2 linked regions of the Schizosaccharomyces pombe genome follow. The protein of the gene in region 2 interacts with the protein of the main gene of each other region in a pairwise test. Each region holds a gene or a part of one and is shown on either strand. Other genes may lie near its edges.

Evidence for each region.
Region 1: the proteins of tan1 (region 2) and nat10 interact in a two-hybrid assay, tested with the Schizosaccharomyces pombe proteins (one study listed by BioGRID).

What each region holds. Positions count from the first base shown.
Region 1 is NC_003424.3:1,412,950-1,423,094, forward strand, and holds nat10 (rRNA/tRNA cytidine N-acetyltransferase), read right to left. Parts: upstream 5,828-10,145; 5' UTR 5,802-5,827; coding exon 5,745-5,801; exon of another isoform or gene 5,706-5,744; coding exon 5,560-5,705; intron 5,523-5,559; exon of another isoform or gene 5,492-5,522; coding exon 2,593-5,491; 3' UTR 2,503-2,592; downstream 1-2,502. Other genes in the region: histone chaperone/ATP-dependent chromatin remodeller Fft1, read right to left, coding at 1-288, 327-461, 500-2,113; atg6 (beclin family protein), read right to left, coding at 6,124-7,518; ceo2 (inorganic diphosphatase), read left to right, coding at 8,967-9,122, 9,231-9,603, 9,662-9,993. UniProt on the Schizosaccharomyces pombe protein: RNA cytidine acetyltransferase with specificity toward both 18S rRNA and tRNAs. Catalyzes the formation of N(4)-acetylcytidine (ac4C) at positions 1297 and 1815 in 18S rRNA.
Region 2 is NC_003423.3:3,260,508-3,268,757, reverse strand, and holds tan1 (tRNA acetyltransferase), read right to left. Parts: upstream 1,744-8,250; coding exon 1,672-1,743; exon of another isoform or gene 1,565-1,671; coding exon 1,454-1,564; exon of another isoform or gene 1,404-1,453; coding exon 1,247-1,403; intron 1,162-1,246; coding exon 956-1,161; exon of another isoform or gene 907-955; coding exon 763-906; exon of another isoform or gene 755-762; intron 711-754; coding exon 537-710; downstream 1-536. Other genes in the region: SAGA complex bromodomain subunit Spt7, read right to left, coding at 2,040-2,361, 2,407-2,621, 2,665-2,808, 2,848-4,091, 4,139-4,277, 4,320-4,421, 4,474-4,512, 4,567-4,766 and 1 more; chaperonin-containing T-complex eta subunit Cct7, read right to left, coding at 5,954-7,172, 7,340-7,763, 7,806-7,839.

The sequences.
Region 1 (10,145 bases), on a different chromosome or scaffold from region 2:
ATTAACCAAATTTTTTAATTCCAAAACTGATAGGTATAATGAGAGTTGAGTTTCCTCCATATGACAGTATTCGACATGCTGTATTTTAGGAGGTAAATCTGAAAGTACATTTTCTTTTCTCCTTCTTAAAATAAATGGATTCATAATTGTTTTAGCACGAGATATTCTTTCTTGAGAAAGATAAGCTCTCTCAATATCGCCATCTGAAGTCGTTTTTATTTTGTAAATGATGTCTAAGCCTTGCATATTATTGTCAAATACTTTAGGTAGCATAAAGGCTAAAAGGGACTAGCAAAAATTAGTAAAAATAAGTTATTCAAACATACAATTAACTCCTTTAAATTATTTTGAAGCGGTGTCCCAGTGATGAGTAGCCGAAAATTCGCTGGAATATTCATCAGGTGTTTATATCGTTCTGACATTCTATTTTTTAAATAATGCCCTTCATCAAATATAGAAATCTAAAAGATTAGTTTACCGATAAAAAACATAAGCTTACATCAAATCTCTGTTTCCTTAAGAATGATCTGTCGTCTCGACTTCCAGATGCAAGTTGGTAAGTAGTAACTAGAACATCAAAATCCGTATCCATTAAGTAGTACCTTTTGTTGATCCTTTCCGACTGAGTTCCCGAATAGCTTTCTACTCTAAGCGACGGGCAAAACTTTTCGAATTCTCGCAACCAGTTTCCGAGAGTAGAAGATGGAACAACTACCAAGTGGCGATTTTGTATACCTTTCTCCTTTAACGAAGCTAGAAATGAAATCACTTGACATGTTTTTCCTAGACCCATTTCATCAGCTAAAATCCCTGACAATTTTGCTTTGTACATCAAACACAACCAATTGAGTCCAACAATCTGATAACTTTTCAAAGTTATACCAGATGCGATTGAAGATGGTTGTTGACTATTGTATTCGTAACTGATAGACCCTGTAGAAGTATTAAGAAACTGTTCCATTTTTTTATCATCAAACAAATTGTGCCAAGATCGCATAGTATTGGATATCATAGCCCCGTACCTTTCGCATTTAGCAATCAGAGAGTCAACAGCATCGAATCCCTGAAGTACTTCATAAGTTGAATTAACTAATTTTCTTCCAACGTTGCGGCCATCTGATTTCTTTCGTTTACCTGTGGCTGCGTGCGCATTTCGTTGGCATAGTGCCTCTGCTTTTTCTAAAGAAGGAAATGGTCGTTTAGAAATAAAATATTCCACCACTTTTGATTCACAACCGGAAACTTCTACTATTTCTTGAAGTGTAGATTCATTTAAAAAGTTTAAAACTCGAACATCATATTCAGACATTTCATCCTCAACTTCTGAAGGTCCTGAACTTTCGATGCTTACTTCCTCTATTTTATCAGAATTTTCGGGAATAGAATTATCGATGTTAGCATCTGTAGTACACGCTGTAGGTGATTGGCCTAACAAGTCATCTTCATTCGTTTCTTCATCTGAAAGTTCAATAACACGAAGCGGCTTTTTCTTTTGCCCTTGTTTAGTTCCTTCTTCTACATAACGTTTCCTTTTTGCGTTCTCCTTGTCTACCGAGGACTTTTCAATGGGCTGGTTGTTCAGCTTTTGGGCTGACTTGTTGATTGTCGAGTTACCTCGTCCTAGCAACTTCTGAAACGTAAGCTTATGGATAGTTATGTTTTCCCTCCAGTTGAATTTTTCTAATGTTGCAATTATCATTTCTGAATCTAAGGCTGGAAATCGTTTTTTTACAGCATTAATTTTCGTAATTTGTTCGCTGTCAAAAAAGTTTGAGGGGTTTATTTTGTTCGAAGATTCTTTTAAACTCACATCGCGTTCAGGAGGCTGATCGTGAGGATCGTACGCCGCGTAGCTGCTCTCAACATACTTTTTATGATCGGTTGTGTCAAAAAAAATACGAGATTGCATAGCCAACTGCCCAAATTTTTTCCCGTTAGCCCTTGAGGAGGTAGTTGAATAATTTTTGAAACTTCCTGACAGGTCTAATTGTTGAATAGGACTACATTCAATGGGAGAGCTCGTAAGCAAATAATAATTTTCTTCGCGTATAGGAGTTGAAGGAGGTGAAGAGCTTGGTATGCAAATTAATTCTTTATTATCTTTTCTCTTCATGAAAACCCTCTCTTTTCTATAATCTATTTCACTTAATCTCTTATTGTTTAATTTGTGTTTTGATCAAGTTTCGCTTTCGACTCAGGTGTTTAGCTGCTTAAGGAGCGCAACTACCTTAGCTTTAGAAGAGAAACCGAGAGTATATTAATTTAGGCTGGATAGAATACTACGCTAAAACATAATTCCACAAAATATGAAAAATTAAATTTCTTAAATTTTGTTGCCCACGATTTATATTCTACTTTATTTTCGATCAAACTTCAGGTATCAAGCCCGTGAATTTAATACTAGCGAAATACAACATTTACTTGTTGAGTAAATTTGAAGCCGCATACACATCTGAATTAATTTTAGTTAATTATCTCGTACTTTCTGTGCAAAGTATCATATCAGGGTATCGACTATTCTAATAAATTTATTTTCCCACATAAAAACCTAAACCATTCACCAGTTTAAAACAAAACACGCGTAACTAATACCTATTTCCTAAATTTCTTCTTGGAAGAAGGCTTTTCTTTTGTTTTTTTATCTGAAGCGTCCAAAGAATTATTTTTTCTCTTTTCCCCTTTAATGCTGACCACCCTAGCGCCTTTTCCATTTGTCTTTTGGATTTGATTTTCTGCAGCCTTCCAATCCTCTTCGTTTCCACGAATGGCATATTTTTCCAAATCTATAGCATTGATCAACTCTCTTTGCTTTTCACGTAAAGCAAGCATAGCCTCATCTGCTCCTTCCTGTAGCTCTTCCTCCAAGGATTGCTGGAGAGGAGTAAACTCAGGAAGTTTAGAATTACTACTTTCCGTTTTCTTATTCGAACCTAATTCTTCTTCGATGTCCTTCGTTTCAATTTCATCTATACACTTCATAATTTTCTTGGACAACTTGACTAACATCGCCAATAATTGGTTTGAGGGTAAGTTGAACTCCTTTTCAAGTGTATCGATAGTCTTATACTGCAATCCCAAAGCTAATAATACAGATTGCTGAACTGGAGACAGCTTAACAGAATCAGGGAATTTACCGCTGAAGTAAAGATGGGCCAACTTTGGAAGCAAATCAACAATAACATGGTAATCGAGCAAATTATTAGAATAAGACTCTAAGCGCTTCAAATCGTATGATTCAAAAACGTTGTTAATTTCTTCGTTGGTTAATTTAGATGTGCTATTAACCACATATTTGGTGCCATTGTTACATGCGTCTAATACACTGAGTGCAGTAATCGCAGCAAATTCTCTGAACTGGTAACCAAGTAAGCTGAGGAATCGACGATAAAAATTTTGAGCGAATGCTCCAAGCCATTCACTATCACGGCCTTCAAGGACTCTCAACATTACACAGGTATGCTCGCCCGTTAGATCATTTGCAGTCTGCCTTAAGTACAAAGGACAATAACCCTCTCGTTTCCAGAATTTTTGCAATGACGGTGTTAGACCATACGAAACACCAACATAGTGTAAAGGCTCTGGTTGAAGTTCTGAAAGCTTCAAAAGCAAAGGTGGCATGGTTTTTGCATCTCTCACATGAATTTTTTCAGTTTGCAAAGCGGTATTCTCAATCTCTTCGTCCCCAATACGCTTAAGAGAATGTTTAACAGCTTTAAATTCCTCAGATGCGCTTATAAACTTTCCTTCAAAATATTCATGTAGTAATTGCATGGCTCTAGTTCCGTAGCCCATTTTAACATGTTCAGGAGATACAGCAATACGAACAATACGAGCACCACCTAAAGCCGCAAAATTCTCGTCTTGAAACTGCTGAGAAATTAGCCATGGGATCAAGTCACCTCCAGCTCTTTGTCCCCGACTTAAACTGTTCATAATGCTTTCTCTGGAAATGGAACCCTCCAGTGCTAATTGAATGACACAAATTGGGTCAGGGAGTTTTGGATTCTTTAAATCTACAGGAGGAAGCAGAACAAACAACTGATGCGCAGGAGCATCTGACATAAGTTGAAGGTCATTCGGCGAATTTTTGTAATGGCTGGCAACATATAACGACATCATTCTTTGCAAAAAAGCTTCAGAAATAGGGTGATACGAAAATAAGGTATCACGACTCACTCTGTACAAAGAACATTCTGAAGGATGAGGAAAACCCTGAGTCGCCATCCGTGAAACATAACTTGCTGCATCTAAACATAATAATTTGTTCAACCAAAGCTCAATACGATCCCCCATTGCATACCTTATAGGTTCGTCTAAAGAAATCTCTTTCAGTGTACGGCCGGAAATATGTGATTGCGAATCAGACTTATTATTTCCGCTACCTGAATAAATTCTGGATTGCTCACGAAGCTGTTGCAAGAGTTTTAATGATAAAGATCTACCAGTTCCCTCATAACCGTTAATTGTAGATGCCATAAATACCAAATAAGGGCCAATAAGCTTTCGAACTAATGGTAAAGGAATGGCTGCAGCTTCATCAATAACAACAAGTTCAGCTTGACCCAAAACATTTGAATCCTCGGGACTAATATATTGAATTGTTTGGCGATGATCACGGAAGATATTTACTCGCACTATGGCATTGTGGTAGGCTGGATTCGTTGATTGAATAATATCGTAATCAACGTGTTCCTCATAGTTTAAAGCATCAAATCCTTTAAAAATAAATTCAAATAAAGTTTTTAAGTTTTCAGGACTAGGCGATGTAATAAAAATATTGGAGTAGCCGTGAGCTATAGCAGCGGCAATAGCAAGGCCTAAAGCAGCGGATTTACCTCTACCACGACCTGCTGTTAAAGAGACTGTTCCTTTTAAACTTTTTTCAACGATAGATTCAACGAAGGTTAACACAGCCCTAGCTTGATCAAGTGTTTTAGTAACACCAACAAGGGCGCCAGCAGGATGATCTTCACCCAAAGATTCCTGTAGTTCCTTAATACTGTTTTGAGTGGAATTATCTTCTTCTAAAGTAGGTGGCAAAGCTTTTACGTTTTTACCACCGGAAATAGGGAGAACATTCAGTTCGTCATCAATCACTAAACAATTTTCGCAGTTTCCTAAAGATAAAATGAATCTTTCATTGAACCTTGCAGTTACATCGCTATGGGCTTCAGTACGGTAACGACTATGGATATCCATTGACATTGTATACAACTGTTTTAAGGAATTTAACTTGTGTAACAATAAAACCACGATACCTCCACCTTCAACAGTTTCGATTGTTCTTGCAAGCAAATTGGGAGTTAATGCTTCGAAGTCCTGCAAAACAAGCATTCCATATGTTTGACCTAAAATTTTTTCGGACTCTTTATAATAACAATATCTGATATTAGTTATACTGCAGAAAAGCTCAAATGGGTCTTCTGAATTTGGATCACGAATTCCTCTTTTGATTTCCTTTTTAATTTTATTTTCTCTCTTCTTTCGATGGCTATATGGGTTAATAAAAGTTTAATTCTTTCTAAACAAGCTGGGTGTTTTCATCATTGGGTCTCATACCTCGTAAAACCAAGCAAATCTTTTTTATACATCCAAAGTACATTTGGTCTAGCGGCAACTTTGGATTGAGATAGCAGCCAATGCAAGTTAACAACCTGATCTCGAGCTCTATCGCCTACGACAACGAAAAAACTCCGCTGTTTTTCCTAATCTTTGTCAGTAACTTATAAACTTGATAGAATTACCTGGCACCCATTTTTTATGAGAGTCGGAATACGAGAGTCAAGTGCTTTCTTGGGCATCTTTACTTTAAATAGTTTTGACTACTGGCAAAGACAAAATTCTGCTGAAACTTTTATATGGGAAGCTTGGAGTTGGTTATACGATTGTTATTTGCTTTAGTGTACTTCACTATTTTTATATTATACATTTATTATTATGATTTTAAATACTTGAGAACGATAATCTAATTCATTAAATTAAACAAAATAAACTCATGAAACATAAAAACTGTATAAAAATTTGTCTAGTGAAACAACATGATGAAAATTAAATGAGGAACAGCCTGTAGAATATAATACTTGAAAATAAGTCATAAAGTAAAAAGCAAATGGGAATTAAGGATTAAAAGTTCGACTGCTTGTCCTGAGAAGAAACGTAAGCTTCCAAAAATTTGATATCCGTTAGGACGAACTTCAACGCACGAGTCCAATTCTCGTCCTGATTGAATGCTAAACGTATGCATTTTCCGCCGATACGGTCATTTTCAATGGCATAGGGTAAAACCGCTGAAGGTGTTTTAGCAGCACAAAAATCGCCAAATTGATGTAAGTAATCCAGAAAAGCCACCATGCCTTGGTCAAATCTACGATTCATAAATATTTTGAGCTCTCCGCTAGAAAAAAGATCTAGCTTTGTTGGTTTAACTTGATTTCCATTAGGATCGCGATCAAAACGAATTATAAAAGATTGGCTGCCAAAAGGCTTCAGCTGATAGGAAGAGGAATGAAAGTCTAACTTTTCAGTCAAAACATCTAATAGTAAAACAGTCATCCCCCAAGCGGCATTTATCTCAGCCCAATTAACTTTCTGGCTTGGAAGCCTTCCCAAGCGTAAGCCATTAATTGTAGCAATAGAGCCCTCTCCATTCGGCTCAGAATAATGAGAAATGTAAAAAATATCACTGAAAACATTCATTTTCTGAAGCTTCTCGAGCTTCCTAGAGTTATGCTCAAACTCCAAGTTTGCACAATCGTATTGTCTTTCTAAACTCAGCTTTTTTATTTGAAATTGGTTTAGATTATTGTAGAACTCTTGCTCCTCGGCATAAACTTTTTCCTTTTCTTCGTCCAATTCACGTAGCAACTTTTGAAGTTTGTCTGTTTCATCACTAATTTCCTCGATCTTTTCTTCTTTCTCATTAATCTGTTTCATTAATTCATCTATCTCAGAATCAAGCGCAGCAGTATTTTCTTCATGCACTGTTTGACTTGATAAGAAATTATCATAATTAAAATACATTTTTTTTTCCTCTTTTAGGGCCCTTAATGTTTTAGACATCTCTTCAGTCAATAACTCAGCACATTCGACACAAAGAGGGTGATCGACTTTGGTTTTAGAGGATAAAAGATCAAATATTCTGTTATAAATTTCTATTTTCCAACTAAAAAGATCATTCACCTCTTCAGGCGAATTCTTTTCTTCTTCATAGCCATCTTTAGCAGCTGGCAATACAACAAATGAATCTAAAGTGGGCGTCCTCAATTCGGGCGGTGGTACATTATCAAAATTGTAATCACCTTCGCTTATTGTTTTTTTGTAAAGTTGCAATCTCTGAGCTGGATAGTCTTCAGAAGAAGAATTCATTTGATCATCACTCTCCCCACTCTCATTCATCTCTGTCAACGATGATGCTTGAACAAATCTACTTTTCGGAAGATTTTTTAGCTTTAACAAGTCATCATCGTAAACATCTTTAAAATTTATCAAAGAATGACACCTCTGACACAAATACTGCATGTTACGCAGATTCTCGAGGATGAGTATTGCCTTCGTATTGACATGAGGAAAAGCGACTACGAATACCACTGTTTGTTAGCATTCGTTATTCCTTTTGATTTCGTAGGCGTAATACTATTCATGATCGAGGCTAAAATGTAAGCTCTTTTGTGAGGTTAAGAGTTCACTAAGTGATAAAATAAAACAATTCTTTAGAAAGCTGTGTGCAATGTTTTTCTAATAAATAAAATCCAGAAATCATTAAGCCTAGAGAAACGCCTTAGTTTTCGAACAAGATCAGACTTCCTATTATACATTATAATTGTATAACACTTGCAGCACGGAATGGAAAAACTTTATAACACAAGTTTACTTATGGCATTATGAACAATGACTTTTGCAATCGTTTTAAAATTGATAAAAACACTAGTACTGTTAATTTACGAATTTGTATGCTGCATTAAAAGTTACTCGTGATATTTTATTAAGTAAAAAAAATCTTAATTCATGTAAGAAACTTTTATTAATAATGTTATTTCATTGCAATTTTCTTTCACCACACAAAGTAAAATTCTCGCATTAAAACCTAAAAAAAAAAAAAATAAACAGATTAAACGACATATTAGTCAATTTATATACATAAAAAAGAATTGCAAGGTTTTAATTAAATATATACGACAATTATTTTACTTACAAATGTAAGGGGTCATAGCTCAGTGGTTAGAGTGAGGGATTGCAGATCCCCAGGTCGCTGGTTCAAATCCGGCTGGTCCCTTATGTTTTTTAAAAATTTATTTTTGTAGTTGAAATTGAATGTAAATAAAGCACGCCGATTTTAGTCACTATTCTTTCTGTATAATTAATGGATAAAAACTGTTCAAGGCCACGTTTCACTATTACGAAATTCTAATCAAACTGGTAAACATTTCCAATATAATGAAGCTACAATTAGTACCAAATACTTTCTCATTGTAATTTACGATGGATTTGCTAGTTTTCAAGCATGTAAATTCTTTTCAGCTGAGATAACTGTAGAGTAAAGAGTACCGTTCAATGGTTGAAAATCCTGTCTGTTAAATGTTTATTATTTTATAAATTAATAATGAATCACAATTGATTGCATTTTAAAGTCCCCTTGGTTTTTCTAAATGTATAGATAGATTATGAATGAATATCATTCCTGATTTTTATAAATAAATTGAGATATTTGTAGTCTATTCAGTGCCTGCTAATCCATACGTACGTTTTACTTTTATCCAAGTTCTTCCGCCCTAAAATGCCCTTTCACTCTGATTGTATATTTAATGATGTTGTTACATGTACGGTTAAATCCTTAACGGATTGCAACCTTCAGCGCTTTATACTTCATAATGTGGTAGAAACAGTTTAGATGATAGATGGTGTATTACTTTAGTCGGTGAGTTCAACTAGAGAGTTGATTGATGAGCTTGGTAATAGAAAAATTTCCCATGGCTTCCCTTGCTAAAAATATTCTTCAATTTCGGTCGAAAATCACTGGAAAACTAAATACGCCGGACTTTCGCGTGTATTGCTATAAAAACAATAAACCAATTTCATTCTTCCATGATGTCCCATTGACATCTGATAAGGACACATTTAATATGGTGTGTATAGTAACTCATTGAATTTTGAGGTTTTTGTTGCCAATTAGTTATATATCCTTTTCATTATCGCTGCGGAGTATGACAGCACTAACAATTTTTTTCAACTAGGTTACTGAAATTCCCCGTTGGACTCAAGCAAAATGTGAAATTTCGTTAACTTCTCCCTTTCATCCCATCAAGCAGGATCTAAAAAATGGAAAGCTGCGTTATGTTGCCAATTCCTTTCCTTACCATGGTTTCATTTGGAATTACGGCGCGCTCCCACAGACATGGGAGGATCCGAACGTAATAGATTCAAGAACGAAGATGAAAGGAGATGGTGATCCCTTGGATGTGTGCGAGATAGGAGGTTCAATCGGCTACATTGGGCAAATCAAGCAAGTAAAAGTTCTCGGTGCATTGGGTCTTATCGATCAGGGAGAAACAGATTGGAAAATCCTTGCCATAGATATCAACGACCCTCGTGCCAAACTACTTAATGGTACGTGTAACCTATTGCTTTTCATGATTGAAATATTATGGACAGCTAACTTTCTTAGATATTTCTGATGTTCAGAACTTGATGCCAAGGCTATTACCTTGTACGCGAGACTGGTTTGCCATTTACAAAATCCCTGATGGGAAGCCTAAAAACCGATTTTTCTTTGACGGAAACTATTTACCAAAAAGTGATGCGTTGGACATAATAGCTCAATGTCACCAACATTGGAAAGTATCCAGAGACAGAAAACAGTACATTAAAAACTTTCATAATGAAAGCGTGAACAATGTTGATTTAATTAACAAGATTAACTCCCTCAAAGAAGAAGTGTCTCAAAATGTCTCAAATTATCCTTCCTTTCCTTATTTCCACACAATACCTAATTTATAATTACTTAAAAGTTACTGACAAAGTTCAATAATATTACATTACAAAATCTTTATTTTTTAACTTAAGATACTGCAAACCGAAAAAATCTCTGGATTATCTATAATTAAACTATGCGAGTAATACCAACGTTGGGGTTGTTTGTTCGATTAAAA
Region 2 (8,250 bases):
CCATCTCTACTTTTATGCCATAGGAATTTTATGCACTTCTTGTTCTGTTTCTGTTTACAAACGGCAATAAATTTGTTTTCTTTTTTTTTTTTTAGGAAAAAGAAAATGCATTTTACAGATTTCTGTAGGACCTTTACGCGTTAAAATTAACGTTATCAAGCTTTATTACTAAATTCGTTTGCTTTATTTGGAGATAATGTTACGTTTAGTTATCGTTTCACAAACGTTTCAAGACGCTTATTTTACATTACTTTGTAAACTCAATATCAATTAGTTCGTAATCATATCAAACATCCAAAATATAGTTTTATCGTGTGTTCTCTATTTGAAGACTTGTATGATGACCAATAAGTTCGGCTTTCAATTGTAAGCGCAGATTCCCATTTTCCCTAATAATTCGTTGTTGATATTGTCGTAACCTTTAATTTCATGACAAATCTTTAAATTTTAACGAAAGAAATTTATACGCTCCTTCAAATTAAAATTCTCTAACATAAACGATGATCCCGGTGCCTCGGTTAATATGTAGAGCTCTCTTACTCAGCATGTTCGGCCTTATCATTTATTATTTGATTCTTATCGCGATCGAAGTTGTCTAACTTAGAATCATTAGGGATCGACTTGGTATTCTCCGGTTGTTTATATACTTCATTCAAATTGAAGCGTCTCAACTCTTCGAAATTTTGTACAATACTTATGCCAATTATATTCTAAATTTAAAAGGATTGTTAAATGCAATTCGTTGCAAGCAATGAAACGTACCTTAATCACTTGGACTAAAATAAGCAATTTAAAGTTCTTCAAATCTACCATATGTTGCTTTCCAACGATTCTAGCAACAGTGCGATATATATCATCTTTTTTTAGGACTGTATGATTTCGGATATTGGCTTGAACAGCGAACTCCTGGAGTTAGCCTATTGTATGCTAAAGCCATATATTATTGCTAACTTACCTTAATCCCTTCCTGGCCTTCATGAAATAACGGGTCAATCAGACTTTTAGCAAGCTCCTCGAGATCATCCAGGGAAACGCCAGTTGTTCTTACAATCGGTATCAATCGTTGTGTATATCGAGTCATTTTTTTGGTTTTCCCAACTTCACAAGTAAACTCTACAAGACGCACTGGATCAATTGGTGGCCTTGTTTTTACAAAGTAAACTTCAAAAAATTAATAAACGGTCATAATAATTCAAATACGAATAAACATCTTAAACTTCTAAAATTATACTGTTTATGCACCTACCACAAGGCATATCTAGCATAATTGGGGTTAACAGTTCTTTTTTGTTCTTTTTTTGGAGACTATTAATCTCCTTAGCAACTGCATCTTCTAATTCCTCGCCTTCTTCTTCGTTTTCTTGATCACTAGATTGAGTTTCTGGCCAAAGAGTAGCTATATGCTATTAATCATCAGTTTACGCATCCTTAACCTGACAAATGTCTTGCATACCTGAGTAAAAACATCAAGAATCTCAGACGATGATTGTCTTTCTTTACCGCGAGGAACAGTAACTAAAACACCACTTTCATTTTTTTCAATCCCTGTTCTTTTGTACTTAAACTATACTTAATAGTTAGCTTTGTTTGATAAAGATTCCTTTCCTTTTTAAAAGGTCGCTCACTGCTGTTATGAGCGTTCTCGCGCTTTCCCATTTCAGTATGTGATACTTCAAGGTGAAAGGTAAAACTCGTCTCAAATGAAATAATTAGGTAACTTAATATTTCGGACAATGCACTCATAATTAGGTTAAATGTGTTGCTAGAGTAATTAATAAATAGTTATATGTTAGTGATATTATATCTTTATTTTGCAAATTCAAATTGCCATTCGGACCCCGATTTTTCAGACATTAATAATTACTAAAGAACACATCAGACATAAAGCCAAACCAAAACTAGAACCATTATAATTATTACTAAAAGAAACTTTAAACTTTTTTAAAGTAAAAATTATGTTTTAAAAGTTATGTCTCCATTGTGGTTGATACACATCTATATACTAGTTGTTTTTGACGTTATAAATAAATACATATGGCCTATTCTTCAGGAAGAGTAGTTACCTCAGTACCTTGCTCATTCTCCTTTAGGCAGCGCTTTTTTCTCAAGGATTGATTTAAAAAAACTGACGAAGCAATTCGCTTTCTCCCAGTGGTAATCTTTCCGTTCGGAGGTAGACGCGGTCGCGGAGGTTTGCTCCTTGGCCTTATGTCTTCATCTTCCAACAACTCATCCAAACCGAATTCCTCTAGATTCTTCTTTAAAAATCCTTGAATCAACCCGATTTCGTTAGAAATACTTTCGGCGGTGATGGGAGGATATTTTGGAGGTGGAGCGTACTCTTGGTCACCCTTTATCGTTCTGAATGAATTAGTATCAAATCTTTCAAAGATATTATAAACATACGCTTCGGGTTGCCAACTCATATTCGACCTCAATCTGCTTTGTAATAAATGCAATGGAACCGATAGTGAATCTAAGCCAAGTTCTCTATCTAAACCAAGTTCCCGTAGACCAAAGAAATCATCACCAGTCTCATACGAAAAATTTCCCGTTACAAACGACTCTCCATTTTGGTTAAATATCGCTTCTTCATCATTGCGCTCAGAAAGTGCAGGACGCTAATCCGGTTAGTAACACTACTTAATAAGGAAATTCGCATACCAATAACTCAACAAAATGCCTTTGAAGACGCTGATGTATTTCTAGCAACTTCACGCTTTGGCGCTCTACATCATGATACACATATGAAATTAAATCATTCACATCGTCAACACCTAATTCCCCTAGGGTTTGTCCAACAATTTCCTAAATTGGTCAATATAACTGCATAACGTAATTAAATACCTGTTGAGATTTGTCTTTCCCATAAATGAGATACTGGTCCATGACAGCACCCATTTTTGCCATGTAATCAGCCGCTATTTCGGTCAAAGCATCCAGTGCTCCCATTTGAAACGACTCAAATCCAGCATGGAATAATATAATGGTACAAAGCTTTTTTAATACATCGTGCGCCAATGGTTTAAAGGAGGACATGTTATCGTAATTTTGTGGGATATCCAAAAGGATGGGTTCATTGTTAGCAAACGGGACATGACTTTTATGATGTTCATAATAAAATGGCTGAGGAAGCTGTAACTGGCGAACTGTTTGGATTTTATTACATAATTTCCGAATTTCTTGCATTTTAGCAATATTTTTGTACATCAACGAAGGTACACCAGGTGTGTTGCGATTAATTTCAAAAAGAGAGTAGTCCCTAAAGTATAAGTCTTCTTCACTTTCAGTCTCCAAGACGCTACCAGCGGTCATCGGAACGCCTGAACCCACATCATACTCAAGTAATGGGGTAGTATCTAATTTCATTATTGGTTCAAAATCACCTTTATCCATAGGTAAACAATCTATACTTCCATAAGCAACTTCTCGATCTATAAAAGCTGACATTGCTGTTGGCTTCCGAATCATAGGTAGTTCAGTCTCAATAAATTGTAAACTTTTTAAAATCCGCCGATTATTTAAGATATGGCTTTCACGAATATCCTTTGTTTTGATTTTCCAATATTCAGTAGCAACGTCAGACAAAGGTTCTTTTTCTAAAGTGTTAGAACTCTCTATAACGGCCGCTTCATTGACAGGAGGTGTTGAACCGCTAACAGCAGGAGGTTTAGAGGTCTCAACTTCTTTCTTTGTAACAGGAGTATTGTTTTCTTCGGGGCTATTTGCATCAGTATGAACTTCAACAGCTTGTTGCGTTTGTCCGCCCCTAGAAGATGTCTTTTTAGAAGTGACATGTTTTGATGTCTCCGCTGTTGATTCTTCATCGCTTTCAAGCTCTGCTTCAATTAAACTATCATCGTAATCCTTACGAGATTGTATTACTATATCAGGAATGAGGTTTATTAATTCCAAAGACTTGTCTTTCATAAACTGGGCATGTACGCGCAAAGGGTGGTCGGGATGTGAATTATACAAAAAGCAGTTCGACCAAATTAGCATTAAATCATGAACGAATTCTTTTTTGCTATTATAATGTAAATTTTTTAAGTTCCTTAAAATGGTACCAAGGTCCATCGGCTCCTTAATTACTACAAAATGTTAATGAGAATTTTAGAGTTATTAGAATCACTCTTACCAGTATAATAATCAGGTGCATCTCTTTTGCTGACCTTGGTTAGAAAAGCCAAAGAATGCTCCGTATATGATCTAAGTTCCAGGACCACTTTTTCTGCTGCTTCATAAAGCTCTTCTTGACCAATTCTTTGATCATTCGCCTAGAAAACATTAATACAAGCAAAAAAATAAAACTTAAATACCCATTTTGATTTATTTTTTTTAACATCGGATAACAATTGCTTCACATCAGCATCGGTGGCATTTATTTTACTTCTATTTCCCTCCAAATATTGCAGTAGATACTAAGTATTAGTTTTGGTTGACAACAAGATTAGAAAGTGATTAAAAGTATACCTTAAATGACGAGGTAAGTGATCCAAACTTTGAATTAAGCTAAATTTTGTTAATTAAAAGGAATTAAAATAACTGATAAGTTTCATAACGTACCGATAAATTATCAGATAAATCAAGAGAGGATGAATTGTTTTGAAAGCTGGATGTATTAGGGGTTGATGTGTCTTCCTCATCTTCAAATTTTTTCACTTCATTGATATTTTCAGAGTCATTTTCTAAAGTATAGTACACATAGTTGAAACTAATATTGCTGAGTGCCTTATTTGATTCGATGGCTGCAAAACCAGAAGTATCTAAAATGTTAGTATATAAGAATACTTAAGGGATGACTTACCCATATCATCTATATCGACAGATTTCAAATCTATAATGCTTTTTCGTAATGATTTATCCTTTTGAAGATCCAGAGTAATGGTAGCTTTAGACGAGTCTTCGGCATCAGATTCATCAAAATCATCATCATCAAATAGTTGTCTTCCAGTTGCTTCAGACTTTTTGGCATCTCCCTTCTTTCTTTCTTCTTCCTCGGCCAACGAAGCTTCTAAGGATATGTTTTGATGATCAACATGCTCAATAGATCCAGAACTTGTGGAACTTAAATCAAATAAAGCTGGATTTATTTTAGCGTCAAATATCATACAACGACAGCGAAACAAAGTAGTAATATCTAAATCGTCTTCCTCATCATCGTTACTGCCATTCGAGTCTTTTTCATCGCACAACTTATCCCATTCTATTACATTAATGAATCGGTTCCATAGAAGAGTGTCATTTAGTATAGAAATATACTTCCTTTTTTGTTCTGGGGACAAATAAAGGCTCCAATAATCATTTTTAAGCAGCGCGATTGCAATGTCATGAAGAACAGGCTCATCCAACGACTTTGAATCTTCGAAATTAGTCTCCATTCAAATTCTCCTTCCCTATGTATAATAGTTCATAAATGACGCGTGATAAATTAAATTAACAACCACAATGGATAAAAAATAACACTTGAGATATGTGAAGGTTTCATACTCGTTTGTTTCGCTAGCGTCGGATATGGATACACAGCGATTTCCTGAAATATGTTTAACGTACTGTAACAATTGAAAATAACGATAGAAATGAAGCAATATATGTTCTGTTTACCATTTCATACCAGTATACTACTATAAGTTTTCGAACTTAAAAAAAGATATTTGGAAGGTATCAAAGTATCACATATAAATCCTTATAAATTATGAAACAATTTAGTAACTTTTAGTAATCACTGTTCATATAATATCGCAAAAGTGAGTGAAGTGACAAGAAAATAATCCGCGATGCAGAACAATATTGTAAGTCGTAGCTAGCGCTCATAAAGATAAAATAGCTAATTTAGAACCAATAAGTACATTACGCCCTGTTTATAGGTAGAAATTCAAAACGAATTGTCCAACCAAAACAAAAAGTGATTTAATTGATTTTATCTAGATAGAATACAATCCTAGAAAATTTATTAGCGGGGCATTCCTCGACCTCTACCACGCATAATCCTATTAGCAGCGCCAGGAGGTAACGCACCCTGTGGAGCTTGAGGTTGCTGTGAAGGTTCATTTTTAATAGTCTCGTCAACGGACAGAATTAGAGTAGCTGCCTCAGTTGCTGATAATATGGCATTTGATTTGACGGTGCTAGGCTCCCAAACAAACTTCTCAAAATTGTTTGCGACCCCTTCGCTATCCATATCTACACCAGCCCACATTTCACCCTTGGCATGTTGCATACGGAGTTTATTCAAAATATTTGTTGAATCGAATCCTGCATTATCACACAGCTGACGAGGGATTACTTCCAACGAGCGAGCAAAGGCAGCTATAAAATTCTGTTGTTTACCAGATATAGTAAGAGAATAATCACGGAGATATTTAGATAACTCCATCTCACAAGCACCACCGCCAGCGACTACTAAGTTATTTTTTAACGCATGTTTAACAATCATAATAGCATCATGTAACGAGCGTTCCACCTCTGCAATAAACTGATCAGCACCGCCACGAAGAATAAGAGTGCAAGTCTTGGCCTTGGGACAACCTTCAAATAGATTGAAACGATCACCACCGATTTGACGCTCCTCAAAAGTATCACAAGTACCTAGGTGCTTCTCCTCAATATTTGAGCAGGTAGACTGGATGGAGCCGCCAACTGCTTGTACCACACGATTTAAATCATCTGCAGCAACCCTTCCAGCACAAAAAATGTCACGATCCGCGAAATATTGGGTGGCCAAATCACCGATGGGCAATTTTGACAAAACAACTTTCGCACCAGTAGCGACAATCGCTTCAAGTTTGGAAAAAATGATACGCCATTCAGCATCGACGATATTCTGGTATTCTTGAACTTTATCAACGCGAACTTCAGCATTGTCTTTCTCGGCCTTTAATTCCAACTCAACGTCCAAACAAAGAATTTTGGGATTCTTGAAGAATTTTGGCTGTTGTTCAAAACCAGCATACGAAAATGTCTTTTTAAATGCAACGCCCTTAACAAGAAGTGAATCCTCCATTGCTCCTCCAGGGACTTTTTTAATACCAATCATGTTTTCATTCAAGTCTTCTTGATCTAATGTCAAAACAGCATCAACTACCATCTTTGTAAAAAAAGTAGAATTCGAACGAATAAGCTTTGAGTTCATTGCAGTAGATGCGCATTTTGTTAACAGATCTCGTAATTTTCTGTAAAGTATTAGTAAACTGAACAAATATAAAATAACTAAAAATCCTTCTAATAAGTAATAAAAAAAGTATAGCGAAAAGCACCAATAATAAACTTTACAAAACTTATTCTAAGCAAGCTAGTTAAGCAATGCCCAGATAAAAATTCTATAAATTAAAAGTCTTACCCTTCGTCCGATAAATCCAAGTGAATAGCAATCTCTTTAATCTTATTCACAGCCAACTGGGCAGCTTTACGATAACCTCTTATAATAAGATGTGAACTAACTCCATCTTCAACAAATGTTCTCGCTTCTCTCAATAATTCGCCAGCGAATACAACGACCGAAGTAGTACCATCACCGACTTCCGCATCTTGGGCTCTGGCAATATCAACTAGCGTTTTTGCAGCAGGATGGACAATGTCCAAGAGTTTCATAATAGTTGCGCCATCATTTGAAATTACAACTTCTCCTCTATCGTCAACCATTAACTTATCAGCGCCCAATGGACCGAGAGTGGTTCGGATCGTGTCTTGTACAGCGACACAAGCATTGATGTTCGAAAGCAGTTGACCCCGTCCTTGGGAATCATCCGTACCTTCCTTCAGTACTGCAAACGATTAGAGATACTTTCATCTGCATACAAACTTACCAATGACAGGAATTTGAGGACCTCCAAGCGACATTCTATTTCAAATACCCAAATTCACTTGTATTTGGTGCTTGGCAAAAATGAAGTTACAGTTTTAGGTGACTCATTTGGCGTGTTATAAAGAATTATCGTTAGGATCCACTAAACTTGTAAACAAAAAATTATTATTAAACTACAGTAACTGTGTGCATTTGTACGTGATTTACTAACTGAATTTATAATATTTATTCGAACGTTTAAGAGCATGAGTGGAAAAATGGTAAATTATCGAAAGAATGTACAATATCTTCCAAAAAAGCATTTAGGATGCGTAATTATCAAAAGAGAGATGCTTTATTAAAAACATATATGCTGCTATATAAAAATAAATAAATATGACCAGCAGCAGATAAAATCAAAATAACTTATAAAATACATATAAAGACAAAAAAGCCAAACTCATGCT